3 linked regions of the Saccharomyces cerevisiae S288C genome follow. The protein of the gene in region 1 interacts with the protein of each later gene in a pairwise test. Each region holds a gene or a part of one and is shown on either strand. Other genes may lie near its edges. The genes, in order: PPH21, PPE1 and BZZ1.

Region 1 (3,710 bases):
GATGCAAACTGGCCCCATTTAAACTCTTTTGGAAGATTTTTATCATCGGTAACATTTCCATCAACGGTGCCCTTATCCTGAAGTCTTAATTTATCAAACTGCGCCTCTAAAACATAAGGCGGCACTGTGGTAGGCACAAACGTGTAAGTATTTAATTTTGGATAGTCTAGTGGTGAACCATCACTGTGTTTGGGAACATGTATCTTTGCATTCTGTAATGCTTCCAGTGAACCTGACTTCCTTACTGTTTGATTTTTTTCAAGATCCACGTTTAAATTAAGTTGATTTTGATCTGCGATTCTAGAAGCGTTCGTGGATGTTGTATCAGAATACGCTTCTTGGCTGGAATTAGAATCCCCCATTAAATTTGTCAGTGTAAAAAAAAAGAACGCCTCAAAAAATGCAAAAAAATATCATTCACTTTCCCTTCTCAGCAATCTCACGGTTTCGAAATAGCAATCAAAGTATTTTTATAATTGACTAAACAAAAGGTGGTTGGAGACTTTGTGTTGTAGCTTAGAATTTCTTCCACTATATGAAAGCCAAGACCTCTTCTCCTCTTTCGACACTTCGTTTATTTCCACTTTCCCTTATTTAGTATTCATCGTTCAGAATGCTTTCTTTATTTCACGACGGTTACCACACCCGTACACCCTTATCTCATTTCACCAGTACCTTTCCTTATTAGATTCATCTTATTTTATTTTAGGATTTTTAGGTCATTGTACGACGCGTGTCGCACCATGGAAAAGGTGTCGCAGCTGCGATGCTATCCATTTACCCGTCATCATTGCTGGCAGAAATCCCATCTTCCTCTGCTGGGGTGATTTATATATATGGAGAGTTAACGAATGTAATATTTCTGAATGTTAAATAATTGTTATCCGTCATTATTGTTTCACTTCTCTCTTTGAAATTTCGCTTGTTTTCTGTTTTCATCTTATATTTTACTTCAATCCTAAGATAGTCATATCGACTTAATTCCAAATGAGAGCTAAGTGGAGAAAGAAGAGAACTAGAAGACTTAAGAGAAAGAGACGGAAGGTGAGAGCCAGATCCAAATAAGCGGATTGAGAGCAAATCGTTAAGTTCAGGTCAAGTAAAAATTGATTTCGAAAACTAATTTCTCTTATACAATCCTTTGATTGGACCGTCATCCTTTCGAATATAAGATTTTGTTAAGAATATTTTAGACAGAGATCTACTTTATATTTAATATCTAGATATTACATAATTTCCTCTCTAATAAAATATCATTAATAAAATAAAAATGAAGCGATTTGATTTTGTGTTGTCAACTTAGTTTGCCGCTATGCCTCTTGGGTAATGCTATTATTGAATCGAAGGGCTTTATTATATTACCCTTTAGCTTATTCTGAGGTTTCTGTGGCGTGCAAAGTGATGAACCGGGCGGGTTTTAAGGATAAAATCAAAAAGTGAAAAAATGAACGGAAAATGGAATACCTGTGAAATGGAGAATGATAATGAATCTTTCTGTCGTGCTTGAAAGATTTTCGGCTATTTTAATCGACTAACACATAGTAGTAGAAATAGTTTTCCGGATTACATTAGTTCGGCATTCTTTTTAGCAGGTTTTTGTTACAGGTTCCTTTCGACGCACCGTTTCACAGTAAAGGAGGTAATTAGTGAATCAGACGCTGCACTTTCATTGATTTTGATATACACATACTCCAATTAGTTTTAGTGTAAATTAAATTGCCCCAGTGGACACGATATTTACAAAAAGTGTTTTATTCTTCTTAGAAATACACCTGTTGGACTGCTCTTTTTTCACTCGTCTTCCCCTAGTTTTCTTTCCTTACCAGTAATTTAGTAAGAGTTTAGTGAGTTCAGGTTGAATAGAGTTATTATCTAATTTTAAACTGTTAATTTTACCGGTTGTGTTTTTTGAAATAAGGCAAAAGAGAAAGAAAAAAACAAATTATTTTGCCCCTATTTAGTTCATAGTGGAAAGAGGGATATAAATTATCGCATAAAACAATAAACAAAAAGAAAAATGGATACAGATTTAGATGTGCCTATGCAAGATGCTGTTACCGAACAGCTGACTCCCACAGTATCTGAAGATATGGATCTCAACAACAATTCATCGGATAATAATGCAGAAGAATTCTCGGTTGATGATTTAAAACCTGGTTCCTCGGGCATAGCAGATCACAAATCTTCCAAACCACTAGAACTGAATAACACAAATATAAATCAGCTTGACCAATGGATTGAGCATTTGAGTAAATGCGAGCCACTATCAGAAGACGATGTAGCACGACTATGTAAAATGGCGGTGGACGTGTTGCAGTTCGAGGAGAATGTTAAACCAATTAACGTGCCTGTTACCATTTGTGGTGACGTACACGGTCAATTCCATGACTTGTTAGAACTTTTTAAGATTGGTGGCCCTTGTCCTGACACCAATTACCTTTTCATGGGTGATTACGTGGATAGAGGATATTATTCTGTTGAAACTGTATCTTACCTAGTTGCCATGAAAGTCAGATACCCACATAGAATTACGATACTGAGAGGCAATCACGAGTCTAGGCAGATTACCCAAGTATACGGGTTTTATGATGAATGTTTGAGAAAGTACGGCAGTGCAAACGTGTGGAAAATGTTCACAGATCTTTTCGATTATTTTCCTATAACCGCATTAGTAGATAATAAAATTTTCTGTCTGCATGGAGGACTTTCCCCCATGATAGAAACCATAGATCAGGTGAGAGAGTTGAACAGAATACAGGAAGTGCCTCATGAAGGTCCTATGTGTGACCTTCTATGGTCAGACCCTGACGATAGAGGCGGATGGGGAATCAGTCCCAGAGGTGCAGGCTTCACTTTTGGACAAGATGTCAGTGAGCAATTCAATCACACTAATGATCTATCACTAATAGCAAGAGCTCACCAATTGGTAATGGAAGGCTATGCTTGGTCTCACCAGCAAAATGTTGTCACCATTTTCAGTGCTCCTAATTACTGCTACAGATGTGGTAATCAAGCAGCTATCATGGAAGTGGACGAGAATCATAATAGACAATTCTTACAGTACGACCCATCCGTAAGACCAGGTGAACCTAGCGTCAGCAGAAAGACGCCAGATTACTTTTTATGAGTATGTATACATATATGCATCTATATAGATATATATTCACTTTTCTCCTTTACCATTATCATAGTTAATTACACATTTAGCCAAAAATAAACTGCAAATTGCCTTGCAAATTTTCTTCTTTTATTATTCTTCAGATATATCAATCAATACGAGGCTTTTTTTCCTCCCCAACGCTTTAATCATTCTGATCATTACTCCGGGTGAAACGGTTCTCTAACGCGATCGTTTAAATTTCGCGATAGATCAGGGAAACGTTATAAAGATTGAGTGGAAAGAACTTCCATTCTTCAGGCTGCTTGTATTACTTTGATTCTTTTTCTAGCCACACGAATAACTCGAGTATTGAGCTTTTTTATTAGAGAAAAACTGAATAATGGCCGAAGAAAGTACCGACTTTAGTCAATTCGAAGAGGAGAGAAACAACGATCAGTATAAAGTTTCAGCCAAAAAAACTGTTGACGAATACAAAAATCTGGATGCTGAAGACGAATCCTTGGCGAAATGGAAAGAGTCTTTGGGTCTAAGTTCAGACGTCTTGCCATTGGAATTTCCCGGTGACAAAAGGAAGGTGGTTGTTCAAAAA
Region 2 (3,757 bases), on another chromosome or scaffold:
TTGAAAAATGTGGTCCTTATTCTATGTTCTTAAAACTTCTTCATCAATGGTCCCCAAAGTTAACACCTCGTCAAATATCTGAAAAGGTGAAAAGATTTTTCTTCTTCTATGCCATCAACAGACACAAGCAAACTGTTTTAACTCCTAGTTATCATGCTGAACAGTATTCACCAGAAGACAACAGATTTGACTTACGTCCTTTCTTAATCAACCCAAGATTTCCATGGGCTTCAAGAAAAATTGATGAAGTTGTCGAGCAGTGTGAAGCACATAAAGGCTCAACGCTTGACATTATGTCTATTGATTAGCACAGAAGAAGTGCTCACAGCAAAATAAGACTTTTCCACGAGTTCATATATTCTGTTATTTATTCTATCATAAATAAAGATATAAAAGTGATATTTAACCCTTATGTATTTTGCACGGTTTTGTGTTGACCCCAATTAGTCTTGATTACTACATTCCTAGAATCGTTCCGCTTCCAGAAATCAATTAAAGTGATTGCTGTTTTTATAGGCGAATCTTCTTGAATGAAATGCCCGGAATCTTGGAAAACTACCAACTGATATTTACCTTGCATTTGCCCCACAATTAATTCTTTATCGAGATTTTCGTTTCCCGCCAATATTAATAATTTACTAACAGGTAAGCCAACAAAGGAGTGCGACAGATCGGTAAACCATGTGTCCCAGAAAGGGCTAAAGGTCTTAAGGTTTGTTATCCTGACAACTTTCCCTGACTTGAGCGGAGCAAATAAAGCTGGTATAGCAATTTCGGCGCTTGACCTCAATCTCGATAACGCGTGTTGAACGTGCCAATCGACAGCGTCATTAATTGATTCAAATACATTGGGTGTATTCTGCAAAAAATGTTCAACTTTATTTAAGGCCATAATGGCAGCCTCTTCTACAATATCTAACATAGTAATACCAAGAATTTTCTTTTGTAGTTCTGTTGATAATTTAGGGTACGCAAAAGTACATATACTTCCACCAAGGGAATGACCAATTAGTATAACAGATACCTTCTGAAGTGGCTCTTGGCTTATTTTAGACTTAAACCAATAATTTAGCAGGCTTACAAAATCTTTGATAAAAGAGTCCCTGTCAAAGCATATAGGCGCATCAGCCTTCTTAAACTTTGTTTCTGCATGCCCCCTAGCATCAAATGCAAAGCATCCGCATCTTCCTTCTAGTTTAGTATTTAATTCCTTGGCCAAGTTTGCAAATGATAAACCTGAGGAGCCCGCCCCATGGTGGAAAATAAAGATGGGAATTGAAGTGGTATTTGATAACAATGAAGTAGGTAATGTATAGTATGTATTTACGTCCAGATCTCTATCAGGAAGACTTACCAACTCCTTATTATCAAAAAAATCACTCCAAGTGGGTAAACTACTCTTTTCCTTACTTGAAATTCTATCAGTAGTACTACCGGTTTTGCCCGTATATTTTCTGTTCCTATTTGATTGTCCATTAAATGATGGCAGGGAACCTAATGCATCACCATCGTTTTCATCATCCTCGTATGCTTCTTGGAATGTCGCATCTAGAACATTCTTGGCTCTCTCAAACTGGGATAAAGCAATTTTTCTTCTCAAATCGTCAGACATTGAAAATTTGAAAATGTCCTACCGTTACTACCAGTTTGTTGCCGTATTTTTGACTCTTTGTTGAGCATTAGTTGATCATTACCGCTGCAGTCAGTTAATGATATCCCTAAATAGGCATATTGTACAATTTCAAATATATTACCCGAATTACAAGAACAATAGGGTCTTCTACAATATTACTATGAACAATTCATAGGGGAACATAGTCCACTTCAATGTCGGTGCCAACGATTCTATTTGTTGTAAGTATATATGCTGTTTCCCGGCAATACTTTATATTGGGGGAATTTTCTGGAGGTTTAAGGGCATATTACTACGTCAAGGCTGGGATTGACCTTCTGGTATATATTACGTTGCGCAGGACATTCCTTATACTTGAGCCTTTGTAAAAACTTCTTCGTTCTCCTGACCAACCGTTCAATTATGTTGTGAATTTTTTGATCCGAGTTTGAAACATCCAAATTCACAAACAAACCGTTGTCATCCTGAGTTGGCGTCGGCCATTGAGCTTCCTCTATGTGTTTTAAATCTTTCATTTTAAGAAATCTAAGTAAGGAAATTGTTTCTCCACATGTGTACCGTATAAAGTTCTTGTTATGAATTAGAAGGATTATCACAAAAGCCCTCCATCAAATCTGATAATTTCATTACCCAAAGACTGTAATACCTTGGGTGTAAAGATCGTATTTTTTGATGTCTTCGTGATATTTTGCAGATCTTTCCATTTTATAAATTTCTGCAAATATCGTGCATCAGCTCATCTTGGAATTGGCACAATCTGCGTAATTTTTTTCTTGGTTCTCTTCTCCTTTTGATTTTAAGAGCGCTTTCTATTCAGTAGCAGATTTTCAGTAAATAAAGCCATCTTTCTCAAGTAAACTCATGATCATGCAGTTGTTCAAAATTACACCAATAACGATGTTATCTTTAAAACTTTCCCCAGAAAGAAGATGGCACTTTTGCACTAAATACTTCAAACTATTTAACTTTGAAGCAGGACATATTGCCGGTTATTTGACCATGCTGGCGCCGTTGACATTCATGTAAGCAGTATTAGCTTTTAAACTGCCATTAACGCACCTATACGATTGCGGCGGTGCGAAAACAGTAACTAGCACTCTTACGGCTCATTGTTTCCTCTATCCAAAGTTGCCTATATCACAATAAAATTAGAAATTAATCATTTTAATAAGCTTGCTGCCATTCAGTGACTCGCAATCTACGTTTTAAACGTAATTTAAAAATCCACTTCCACCTACATATTTTGCAACAGTCGTACGACAGAAACTGAGGCTCTATAAAATGAGATGTGCTAATTGTTCTTTCTTGGCTGGTTTCAGCTACATCTTTCTGTAATCAATCTACAAATTTACACGCGAGCTTCATTTTGACAGTAAACAAATGTAAAAGACACATGCAATAAAAGCGGTCCAGAAAACAAACGACAAAGCCACCAAAAATGTTTGCAAACGTTGGATTTAGAACTTTGAGGGTCTCGAGAGGTCCCCTTTATGGTATGTTTATTGTTTTATTCATTGGTGTGCTAATTGCTAAATTTGCGGGACAAATGCTAATCGACTCAGAGACTAACTTTTCTCATATCATAGGATCCTGCAGTCAAATCATCAGCTTTTCCAAGAGGACTTTTTACTCAAGTGCCAAGAGTGGGTATCAATCGAACAACAGTCATGGTGATGCGTATAGTTCAGGTAGCCAATCAGGCCCGTTCACCTATAAAACCGCGGTAGCTTTCCAACCAAAAGACAGAGACGATCTGATATACCAAAAACTAAAGGATTCTATTAGATCACCTACAGGAGAAGACAACTATTTTGTTACATCAAACAACGTTCACGATATTTTTGCCGGTGTCGCAGACGGTGTTGGAGGATGGGCTGAGCATGGGTATGACTCCAGCGCCATCTCAAGAGAATTGTGTAAAAAAATGGACGAAATAAGCACTGCTTTAGCAGAAAATTCATCCAAAGAAACGCTTTTAACGCCAAAGAAAATTATTGGTGCTGCATACGCAAAAATTAGGGATGAGAAAGTAGTGAAGGTTGGTGGGACAACAGCCATTGTGGCTCACTTCCCATCTAATGGAAAATTGGAAGTTGCCAACTTGGGTGATTCTTGGTGTGGAGT
Region 3 (3,757 bases), on another chromosome or scaffold:
GAATGAAAGAAAAAATTCATGTTATGTGAGCAAGTAGGTAAAAAGAAAGAATAAAAGGTTCAGCTTTTCTATGTTCAGGATACAACTGAGAACTATGTCCAGCAAAACATGCAAGAGTGATTACCCAAAGGAGTTTGTCAGTTTCTTAAATAGCTCACACTCTCCTTACCATACAGTTCATAACATCAAAAAGCATCTGGTGTCAAATGGCTTCAAAGAGTTGAGCGAACGTGACTCGTGGGCTGGCCACGTCGCACAAAAAGGAAAGTACTTTGTGACAAGAAATGGCTCTTCCATTATTGCGTTTGCTGTTGGTGGAAAGTGGGAGCCTGGTAATCCAATTGCCATTACGGGTGCTCACACCGACTCCCCCGCATTAAGGATTAAGCCTATTTCTAAAAGAGTCAGTGAGAAGTATTTACAAGTGGGCGTGGAAACTTATGGTGGCGCTATTTGGCATTCATGGTTTGATAAGGATTTGGGCGTTGCCGGAAGAGTTTTCGTAAAGGATGCGAAAACTGGCAAATCCATTGCTAGATTGGTGGATTTGAATAGACCTCTGTTAAAGATTCCTACTTTGGCTATTCATCTGGACAGAGACGTAAATCAAAAATTCGAGTTTAATAGAGAAACTCAACTGTTGCCGATTGGTGGTCTGCAAGAAGACAAAACTGAAGCGAAAACTGAAAAGGAAATTAATAACGGTGAGTTTACCTCCATAAAAACGATAGTACAGAGGCATCACGCAGAACTTTTGGGGCTAATAGCCAAAGAACTCGCCATTGATACAATTGAAGACATTGAAGACTTCGAATTGATCCTTTATGATCATAATGCATCCACTCTAGGTGGGTTCAACGATGAGTTTGTCTTCTCTGGTCGATTGGATAATTTGACATCTTGTTTCACATCAATGCACGGTTTAACGTTGGCGGCTGACACAGAAATTGACCGAGAATCAGGCATTAGATTGATGGCATGCTTTGATCATGAGGAGATTGGCTCATCCTCCGCCCAAGGGGCAGATTCTAACTTCTTGCCTAATATATTGGAAAGGTTGTCCATCCTGAAGGGGGACGGTTCTGATCAAACTAAACCTTTGTTTCACTCGGCAATATTGGAAACTTCCGCTAAGTCGTTTTTCCTTTCATCTGATGTTGCTCATGCAGTTCATCCAAACTATGCAAACAAATACGAAAGCCAACACAAACCCTTATTGGGTGGTGGTCCCGTAATCAAGATTAACGCGAATCAACGTTACATGACCAATTCACCAGGGTTGGTCTTGGTGAAAAGACTAGCAGAGGCTGCTAAAGTCCCTTTGCAATTGTTTGTCGTAGCTAACGACTCACCATGCGGTTCTACCATCGGCCCCATTTTGGCCTCAAAGACAGGTATTAGAACTCTAGACTTGGGTAATCCTGTGTTGAGTATGCATTCGATTAGAGAGACCGGTGGCTCTGCAGACCTGGAGTTCCAAATCAAGTTATTTAAGGAATTTTTTGAACGCTACACTTCCATAGAATCTGAAATTGTTGTCTAAACTGCAATTGTTAGATGATTCATAATCCGGTATATTTATTGCCCTCTTTTGTATTTTACAAATAGTAAATATATATAATATCTTGTGATCTACATAAGCTTTCGCGGGGTCTTCAGAAAAATAAAAAGTTTTTAAAAGAATATACGCTTAGCAAAGGAATAGACAGATTTAGTTTGTACGCAAATAGTTTTTGAAGAAGGTAGCAGATTGATCAATTTTGTATGAGCGGAAATCTATCCTTAAACGCCAACTACTACATTACTTGCAATAAAAATGAGTGCAGATTTATCGATTGGTAATGAAATTAAAGATTCATTTAAGGAAACCCATAAATGGGTCCAAAATAACTTAAAATGGTTGAAGGACATTGAGCAATTTTATCGGGAAAGGGCTAAGTTAGAAAAAGACTACAGCGAGAGATTATCTCGCTTATCAGCAGAGTACTTTAATAAGAAGTCTTCGACCTCAGTTCCTATCTCGGTAGGTGACACACCTACTACCACGCCAGGGTCCATTGAAGCTGCAGGTGTGGTTGCATGGAATGAAATTCTATCTCAGACTGATATGATTTCCAAGGATCATGATCAGTTATCAACCGACTTTGAAAATCATGTAGCAAATCAATTGAGTGGATTATTCACTAAACTTGATATGACTTTGAGCAAGATAAATGGATTTAACAATGACATGGTTAATAAAAAGGATAACATTTACCACGAACTGGAAAAAGCGAAGAAGGACTATGATGAAGCCTGTTCCACTATGGAAATGGCAAGAAATAGGTATACCAAGGCATCTAATGATAGAAATAAAAAGAAGTTGGATGAAAAAGAAATGGAGATGAACAAGTGTAAAAATGAATATTTAATCAAGATCAACCAGGCAAATAGAACTAAGGATAAATACTATTTTCAAGATGTTCCTGAAGTGCTAGATCTTCTACAAGACGTAAATGAGGCAAAGACCCTTTTCTTAAATGATCTGTGGTTGAAGGCGGCTTCTGTCGAGAACGATCTGGGTGCAAATGTCAGCAAAAGACTCCAGGCGGCAAATTCTGTTGTCAAGCAGAATAAACCCTCTTTAAACACGGCCATCTTTATCAAGCACAATCTAAAGAATTGGAAAGAACCACAAGACTTTGTCTATAAGCCATCTCCAGTATGGCATGATGATGAAAAATTTGCTGTTCCCTCGTCGTTGGAAGTTGAAGACTTGAGAATAAAACTGGCAAAAGCAGAAAATGATTACAATTCATTGCAAGATAAAACTCAAAATGAGTTATCCAAACTGTCTACTTTGAACAAGATAAAGCACGAAATGAAAACTAATGAAGATAATATCAATGCCACTAAGTTTTATGATACACTAAAGGAATACTTAAATGTCGTTTCACCCTTTACCTCACACGAAACATTAAAATTGCAAGCCGAAGTTCAAATCGAAAGTATTCAGAATAATGTTCCTGAAGAATACGATTTATCCACAGACAATATTGATCTTTCCAAAACAAAGAAGAAATCCGGGATATTCAGTAAGTTCAAACACAACATCCTGAACGTCGACTCGAAGCCTTCGAGTGGAGGGAGCACTGGTAATGGCAACGGAGGACCCTTGCATATAACAAGTCTCTTCAACACATCAAGAAGAACTAGGCTAGGCTCTGCCCCTAACAACGCTGGTGAAGATTCAGATAATAATTCTATACGCACCACTAGTACCAACAATACAAAAAAGACCACACAAAATTCCAGTGATGACGGCAAGAATAAAGTGTTGTATGCATACGTACAAAAGGATGATGACGAAATCACCATTACGCCAGGAGACAAAATCTCTTTGGTTGCACGCGATACGGGTTCTGGATGGACTAAGATAAATAACGACACCACTGGGGAAACCGGCCTTGTACCCACCACATATATTCGCATATCTAGCGCGGCTACAGTTAAAGCAAATGATAGAGGCCCTGCACCAGAAGTACCACCACCAAGAAGGAGTACACTACCTGTTAGGACGATGGAGGCCATATATGCCTACGAAGCACAGGGAGATGATGAGATTTCAATTGATCCGGGGGACATAATTACTGTTATCAGAGGCGATGACGGTAGCGGGTGGACATATGGTGAATGTGACGGATTGAAAGGTCTATTTCCTACAAGTTACTGTAAATGAACGAAGGAATGAACTGAAACTATTAAATATTTTCCCTGG

Evidence for each region.
Region 2: the proteins of PPH21 (region 1) and PPE1 interact in binary tests that used the Saccharomyces cerevisiae proteins (3 or more experiments, as listed by UniProt).
Region 3: the proteins of PPH21 (region 1) and BZZ1 interact in a two-hybrid assay, tested with the Saccharomyces cerevisiae proteins (one large-scale study listed by BioGRID).

The regions. Positions count from the first base shown.
Region 1 is NC_001136.10:219,079-222,788, reverse strand, and holds PPH21 (phosphoprotein phosphatase 2A catalytic subunit PPH21), read left to right. Parts: upstream 1-2,017; coding exon 2,018-3,127; downstream 3,128-3,710. Other genes in the region: SRF1 (phospholipase D regulator), read right to left, coding at 1-362; 60S ribosomal protein eL41 RPL41B, read left to right, coding at 988-1,065; RDI1 (Rdi1p), read left to right, coding at 3,501-3,710. UniProt on the Saccharomyces cerevisiae protein: Exact function not known, phosphatase 2A performs an essential cellular function.
Region 2 is NC_001140.6:248,030-251,786, forward strand, and holds PPE1 (phosphoprotein phosphatase methylesterase 1), read right to left. Parts: upstream 1,613-3,757; coding exon 410-1,612; downstream 1-409. Other genes in the region: QNS1 (glutamine-dependent NAD(+) synthetase), read left to right, coding at 1-308; type 2C protein phosphatase PTC7, read left to right, coding at 3,072-3,126, 3,220-3,757. UniProt on the Saccharomyces cerevisiae protein: Demethylates proteins that have been reversibly carboxymethylated. Demethylates the phosphatase PP2A catalytic subunits PPH21 and PPH22. Forms inactive complexes (PP2Ai) with phosphatase PP2A-like catalytic subunits.
Region 3 is NC_001140.6:336,267-340,023, forward strand, and holds BZZ1 (Bzz1p), read left to right. Parts: upstream 1-1,816; coding exon 1,817-3,718; downstream 3,719-3,757. Other genes in the region: APE4 (aspartyl aminopeptidase), read left to right, coding at 71-1,543. UniProt on the Saccharomyces cerevisiae protein: Plays a role in endocytosis and trafficking to the vacuole. Functions with type I myosins to restore polarity of the actin cytoskeleton after NaCl stress.